Drosophila melanogaster: one gene and its partner. Changing the gene in region 1 together with any one later gene gives a genetic interaction. Each region holds a gene or a part of one and is shown on either strand. Other genes may lie near its edges. The genes, in order: I-2 and NiPp1.

What was found.
Region 2: of I-2 (region 1) and NiPp1, changing one enhances a phenotype caused by changing the other (phenotypic enhancement), as found in Drosophila melanogaster (one study listed by BioGRID).

Annotation. Positions count from the first base shown.
Region 1 is NT_037436.4:9,834,843-9,838,767, reverse strand, and holds the start of I-2 (Inhibitor-2), read left to right. Parts: upstream 1-2,262; coding exon 2,263-2,559; intron 2,560-2,621; coding exon 2,622-2,719; intron 2,720-2,787; coding exon 2,788-2,955; intron 2,956-3,334; coding exon 3,335-3,429; intron 3,430-3,485; coding exon 3,486-3,760; 3' UTR 3,761-3,925. Other genes in the region: Cdk8 (Cyclin-dependent kinase 8), read left to right, coding at 163-293, 356-1,589.
Region 2 is NT_033778.4:17,003,550-17,007,474, forward strand, and holds NiPp1 (nuclear inhibitor of protein phosphatase 1), read right to left. Parts: upstream 1,601-3,925; 5' UTR 1,510-1,600; coding exon 1,481-1,509; intron 1,419-1,480; coding exon 1,204-1,418; intron 1,149-1,203; coding exon 934-1,148; intron 873-933; coding exon 302-872; intron 242-301; coding exon 120-241; 3' UTR 14-119; downstream 1-13. Other genes in the region: CG6805 (uncharacterized protein), read left to right, coding at 2,212-2,958, 3,240-3,566.

The DNA of each region.
Region 1 (3,925 bases):
TGTTTTCTGTTTTAAAAGGCTAGCTATAAAAAAAGCTAGGTATGGCGAGCACTGTTCCCATTTTCCATCCCTGGTTAAGGCTGTGTTATCGTTATCGGGAGACAGCTGATTGGCGGCATCTTCATTTACAAACAATTGTGGAATTTGCAAACTTTTGTAAAAATGGACTACGATTTCAAGATGAAAACGCAGATAGAGCGTACGAAAGTGGAGGACCTATTCAACTACGAGGGCTGTAAGGTGGGACGCGGAACATACGGCCACGTCTACAAGGCGAAATGGAAGGAGACAAGGTGAACTGGTCATCGGGTGCTCTTCAAACAATATAAATAATTATAGTATTCATGTTCTTTAGCGATGGCAAAGAATATGCCTTGAAGCAGATCGACGGCACCGGATTGTCCATGTCCGCCTGCCGCGAGATCGCATTGCTGCGCGAACTGAAGCATCAGAACGTAATTACCCTCATCCGGGTGTTTCTGTCGCACAACGACCGCAAGGTGTTCCTGTTGATCGACTATGCGGAGCACGACCTGTGGCACATCATTAAGTTCCATCGGGCTGCTAAGGCCACCAAAAAGCAGGTTGTGGTTCCCCGCGGTATGGTTAAAAGTCTGCTATATCAGATTCTGGATGGGATTCACTATCTGCACAGTAATTGGGTGCTACATCGTGACCTGAAGCCGGCCAACATCCTGGTGATGGGCGATGGCAACGAGAGGGGCCGCGTAAAAATCGCCGACATGGGTTTCGCGCGGCTCTTCAATGCCCCATTGAAACCGCTGGCAGATCTGGATCCCGTGGTGGTTACCTTTTGGTATCGCGCTCCGGAACTGCTGCTTGGCGCTCGTCACTACACCAAGGCTATCGACATCTGGGCTATTGGCTGTATTTTCGCCGAACTACTCACTTCGGAGCCCATCTTCCATTGCCGCCAGGAGGACATAAAGACCAGTAATCCGTACCATCACGATCAGCTAGACCGCATCTTCAATGTGATGGGCTTTCCGCAGGACAAGGACTGGGAGGATATCAAGAAGATGCCGGAACATCATACGCTGACAAAGGACTTTAAACGCTCCACATACTCCACCTGCTCGCTGGCCAAATACATGGAAAGGCACAAAATAAAGCCAGACAGCAAGGCCTTTCACCTGCTGCAGAAGCTGCTGCTAATGGATCCCAACAAGCGCATCACCTCCGAACAGGCCATGCAGGATCAGTACTTCCAGGAGGAGCCGCAGCCCACGCAGGACGTGTTCGCCGGCTGCCCCATACCGTATCCCAAGCGTGAATTCCTCACCGACGACGACCAGGAAGATAAGTCGGATAATAAGCGACAGCAGCAACAGCAGCAGCAACAACAGCAGCAACAGCAGCAGCAACAGCAGCAGCAACAACAACAGCAGCAGCAGCAGCAGCAAATGAACGCTGAGCCGAATGCAAAGAGAGTTCGATTGTCCGGAGCTGGTAACCAGCAAGATTTTCACCACCAGCAGCAGCAGCAACAGCAGCAGCAGCAACAACAGCAGCAGCAGCAGCAACAGATGATGTTCAATCAGCAGCAGAACTTCCAGCGCTTCAACTGAGAGACTGATACATGCAGCATTTTTTCTACAACACCTACTAATTTCTAGCCTTCTAAGTATTTAATTTAATGACCTTGATAATAGCAAGTAAAGTGTACGATATAAAACGTTGATTTTTAATGGACAGGGTTTTCTTTATTTAATTTTGTGAACTCCAATTAACTCAAATTCGTTGAAATATCTTTCCGAAGGATATTCAAAAATAAATTTGAATGCATGTTCTTTCCTCTCAAAAATGAATTTCTCAAACGAAGTTTTGAAAACTATTTTTAAAATTGGTTCGAGTCTGAGCTATTTATTTAAAGCATGTTATGTTTTTGTGTCGGCTTGGGTCACGATACGCAAGTATCGATTAAATGTAATCGAAGGTGCCATCGCTGTGTTGCCAGCTCTAGTAGAATTTGTTAGAATATTTTACCGGATTTGCCATTTGCTTTGCAATACAAATTAGAAGAGAATATCCACACAGTGACCATTAAAGCGTAAAGAGCCAAATCTAACGTTTTCCAAATTAAGATCAAAACCGCCCGTCTGGCGACATCGATGAGATCGTGGCCCTCGCCCAAAACCCAGCTGGCTGCCAACTTGAAGATTGTGGCGTAAATTGCCCTCCGGAAACGCAGTTGCAATTGCAGTTAACAGGCGAAAGTCACACAAGTAAGTGGGATTCGGAATGGAGGCGGTGGTGCAGGCGGAGGCGGACGACAACAATGCGTCGGATGTCCAGCGGGGTGTTGGTGGGGCATTGCTGGCCGTAGTGGCCACCCAGTGGGCGGCAATGGCAACCCCTCCAAGGGCACGAGGTTTCGCCGCGACCTGTGCCATTATAATCTGGCGAACATCGCGATTTCAGTGCCTGTTCGGCTACTGCCGCCGTGATTCACGATTGTCCAGCAGCAACAGTGGCAGCAGCAACAGAAACAACAACCATAAAATCTACGAAATCATCAATGACTCCCAACCGCCTGACGTAATTATCCGCGTGCATTGTTCGCAACTAAAGCACACTCTGGTCTTTGCCCATTGTTACAGGTAACACAGATAGCCAGGATGCAGAACAATCCCAGCCCACAGCTACCCTGCAAGGGTATACTAAAGACTTCGCGTAGCTTCGACAAGTCGGGAGCCAGGTGAGGTCATCGAATGACCCCAGTTAATAGCCCTTATTAATTGGTTTCTTTTTCATCCTTTTAAAAAGTTTTCGCAAAAGTGCCAAGTTCGATGAGCTGAACGTGATGCAGACCTTCCATCCGGCCGACAAGGACTACGGACACATGAAAATCGATGAGCCCAAAACGCCGTACAACTACACGGAGGGCTTCGACGAGAACAGGGACGAGCTGGACACGGAGTTGCTAGTGGAGAAGTATGTGGAGCTTTCCTATTGTTTACTTGCTAAATGGTTTGGCAAGAGCACAGAGTATCAAGTTTCAAACAAAACTGATTTCCAGAAAATGCGCCGTTCACATTTGTTTGTTTACATGTGACTTATAGATTCAGAGATTAAACAATCGTTGATAATTATACGATTTGCAAAATGATAATCAAATATATCAACATTATTGAGCAATATGACTGCCTCAGATTTCTTAAGAATATAACTAGCTAAATTCATAATCAATAATTTGTTTGAAAAGAAAAAGTTTTTTTTGAAATTTGAAGACTTATTTTAAAGCCGTGCCAGTCATTTTGTAGTTTACATATTATTGCACTTACAATTACTAAAAACACATACTAATTTGCAGACTCCGCATAGCGGCTAACACACAGCCGTCGACAGAGAGCATCGAGGACGATGGTTCCTCCGGTGATGACCAGCCCCTTAGCGAAGAGGAGCGACGTAAGTACCATGAACATCTCAGATTCCAACAATTGCTCAAACATATTTGCTTGCAGAACGGCGGCGCGAATTCGAGCGACGCCGTAAGGCCCACTATCGCGAGTTTGAGGCCGTCAAACTGGCACGAAAACTGATCCAGGAGGAGGACGACGACGATGACGACGAGGACAAGGGTGCGGATAGCCGGCCCTCGGGCTCGTCACAGGGCGCTTCCAGCTCCGGACGTTTCGCGAGCAGTTCGACCAAACGGTCGAGCTCTCAGGCTGACTCCACCACATCCCCGTCTACCAGCGCCGGCCAGAACATGGACCTGGAGCCATCGAATAACTAGAAGCAATGTCAACCCATCAATCAATCACTAATGTTTACCTAGCGGACAATGGACGATTCTGAGGGCAGCTCATCCAAAACAATAAACAAACGAAATTATATCAAATTATCAAGTGCTGTGCGAGTGCGGAGTGAGAAGTGGATGCTGATTAGCAGGGTGGCGAGG
Region 2 (3,925 bases), on another chromosome or scaffold:
TATTAAATGTTTTGTTTTACGTTAAAAGTCTAATAAACAAATATTACTCCAGAGTGTGTTGTCAATCATATGCTTGAGAAAATCGTAGGTGGAATCTTAATTATTTTGTTAATACGCAATTACAGCTGCCCCAACATGGGCTTGCGACCTGGCCATGCTTCCTTGGCGTATTTCTTTTTCTGTGGGCACAGCGAATCGCCTTCGCCACTCGAGTCATGCGGATCCTCACCAAAGCGACGAACTAAAATGGTGTTATAAACAATCAGTAAGTTTTTAAACAAATAGTCGCGAGAACTATTACCGTTTGCATTAGCGACGGCCAACTTTTGAGCCAATGTCGAGGTCTCCACAGCTTCGTCATAGACTGGCAGCACTTCAGGCGCAGGATTCGGGAGCAATAGGCCCAACTTGGAACCAATGCTCAGCGGGGAGATGGGCTCTAGGTCACCCTTGCCATGCATTTCGGCCGGTAGACCTTGATATAGGGAATTAGTAGGCGAGTGGAGCACCGCATTGGGCGGAGGCATTTCCCTATGCTGCTGCTTCATGTCAACTAGGCTCTGCTGGAACATTTGGTGTACATGTGCGGCATTGGCACTGGACAAACTGCTGTTGCCCGAATGGATGCCCATATGATTGACGTCGCAGCGAGCCCTCTTGGCGGGCACCACAGTGGTTTGTACCAAGTTCCTGAAGCGTCCCACATTAGGATCCACATCCTCAGGATTGATGACAATCTCCTCATCGTTAAATGTGACATTTCGAGTGCGCCGTCCCTGTTTCAAGGCGTTTTGCTTTCGCATATTGGTATCATCATCGATGCCCAGCATTGAGATGCGCCGATTGTGGGCTGTGTTGTATTCTGTGAGATTCTGCAGGATAATGGAAGGTTAGTTTACATAGTATTTAGCTTTTCTTTTCAACCAAACGCACATCAAGCTCCGTTTGGCTTTCGGGTAGGCCCAGGAGAGCTCCATCGCTGGTTTCACTGAGCGGCAGGTCTTCCATGATGTTGCTGTGGTGGCCAGAGGGTCGTTCCCTGAGTATGTAGTTCCGGGTAGAAGCCCCAAAGTGGAAGGTGCTATTAATCTGCAGCTGTGTGGGCTTGTGCGCTTCCAATCTGAGTGTTCCAATAAAGGTGCCATGAGCTGTCAAAAGTAAATGGATAAGCTTACTCCGAATCCCAGATATCTTAGTACCTACTGGACCCCAGATCCACGAGGTAGGCTATGTTGAGGTGCTTGTGGTAGACAAACGCCGAGTGGACCCGCGAACAAGAGGCATGGTCTATGCAGAAGTCGTTCATTTGACTGTTGCGACCAAATAGATAGCATCTTTTTTCATCCACCATCAGTTTTTGTACTAGTTTGTCGTCCTTTAGCACATCCAGATGTAAGCCAGTGGGCGGTTTTCCAGCCCTAAAATAAATAAAATGCTACGTGATTTTGTGGCAAGGCAGCGGCTGAATTTGACAACGCACCAACTGGGTATGTCGTAGCTGTTAGCCATACTTTTAACTTAAGTAAAATAGTTCGGAAGGTAAGTTTATACAAAGTGTTTATTTTTATGAAAAATCCTTAGCCAGTGTGTACACACAATTGACTAGTTGCCGATAATATCGGTTTAGCACAAGCAAATGCAAAGGGGCATTCTCGCGTAAAAAAAAAAACAATGAAATAAGAGTATTATTATTTTAAAGGAACTTACGCACAGTACAACTTTTAATCTTATATCTTTATATTTCTTAAATTGATTTTTGGCTTTTATAATATCTAATGTGTTTCAAATAAAAATCTAAATTAGATGAGAAGCTCATGTTAGCCGATGTTTTCGATGAGCTTCAGAGCTCCGTTACTATCGAGATACCATAAAATTTTTGCCGCCGCCTAAGGTATATTTAAATAGTTGTGCTGCGGTCACACTAAGCTCACGCAACGGACGGACAAATAAACATAAATAACGACATCTGAGTATTCTATAAATAATACGGGCAACTAGCGCTTCCTAGTCCAATTAAAGCGGCTTAAAAAATTAGTGCTGAAGAATTAACGGTTACATAAATGAAAGTTGCGTGTGCAAAACGCCTTTCGCTTTATTTGCTGATGCTGCCAAATCCGTAAACCTGTTTTGGATGCCCATGAACTCATCAACAGCCACCTTGTGACGTCCAAAACAACAAGTATTAATCATAGATAATTAGACGGCGGAAAAATGGTTACGGCCACGGCGATTGCGGATCTGTGCATCTTCCTTTTGACCTGGAACGTGGGCACCCATACGCCGCGAAATCAGGATCTGAGCTCCCTTTTGTCCCTTAATGGCACCACCACTTGTCCGGATAACCAGCTGCCCGATATCTATGTAATCGGATTCCAGGAGGTGAGCACCACACCGCAGGTGCTAAAAATCTTCAATGACGATCCGTGGGTGCTGAAGATCGCGGACTCTCTGAGCGATCACCAGTTCGTAAAGGTGGACTCGAAGCAGCTGCAGGGAATTCTTATAACCATGTTCGCACAGCACAAGCACATCCCGCACATGAAAGAAATCGAGACAGAAGCCACGCGCACGGGACTTGGAGGGCTGTGGGGCAACAAGGGTGCCGTAAGCATTCGACTTTCGCTCTACGGAACTGGCGTCGCATTCGTCTGCTCCCATCTGGCGGCGCACGATGAGAAGCTGAAGGAGCGCATCGAAGACTATCACCAAATCGTGGACAATCACAAGTACAATGCGCAGGGATATCGCCGGATATTCGATCACGACTTTGTCTTTTGGTTTGGCGATCTTAACTTCCGTCTCTCCGGCGATATGTCCGCTTGGGATGTCCGCACGGATGTGGAGAACCAGCGATACGCTGATCTGCTCAAGCTCGACCAGTTGAATCTGCTCCGGGAGAAGGGAAACGCCTTCAGCTTGCTGGAGGAGCAGCAGCCCAACTTTGCGCCCACTTTTAAGGTAACAATCTAATATACAATCTTATTATCTCTACAGTCAAAGTTTGCCTTGAACTTTCTAATCTTAATCTAAATAATGTATATAGGGGTGGGTGTAATTAATTTTATCTGCACTTGAATTTTTAATTTCCGCCAATCACTTCATCAATCAATCACTTCATTCGGCTCCACAGATTTCATGAGAAAAGCAAAATCCAACTAATTTATGAGGCAATATGTCGAATGTAATTAATTCGCCTTATCTCTAGCACCCATATAAAGTTCATTTGATTTTCCTTGCAGTTCGTGGAAGGCACTAATGACTACAACTTGAAGCGGCGACCCGCCTGGTGCGATCGGATTTTGCATCGCGTGCAGAGCAACATTTATCCGGGCATTACCCTGAGTGCCAACCAGCTGTCTTATCAGTCCCACATGGACTACACTCTCTCCGACCACAAGCCCGTATCGGCGACATTCAACTACAAGGTCGAGGCTGCCAACCAGACCTACACCGACGAGGAGCTCCACGAAATGACGCACGGATCTGCCTCATCTCCGGCGACGCCAAATGTTAGTCTATCCTTCGCATTTGTTGTTTTTGTAGCTGTGTCCTATACTCAACTTTGATTTCGCTTCTTTTGTAGTTATTTATCGCTGAACTAGAGCAATGGTAGCGCCGTCATGACGTCACTTAGTTGTGAACTTTTAAATCTCTTTGCATGCTTTTAGATTATATGCGTAGACGAGTTGTAGAGTAATTAAAAGACTTCCTTTCAGAAGGAACAAGAGAAACGAAAATAATATCAAGTACAATGTGATGAAATCTCTGCTAATTTAGCAATCATTTAAGCAATTCTCAAGTGATCCATGGAAATAATGCAGCTTCCGAGTATATATACATACATATGTTATCACTCAATTAAGACGATATTAATTTAACGATTGATTGCATTAAACAAATGTATTTTTGTACACTAAACTGTTGA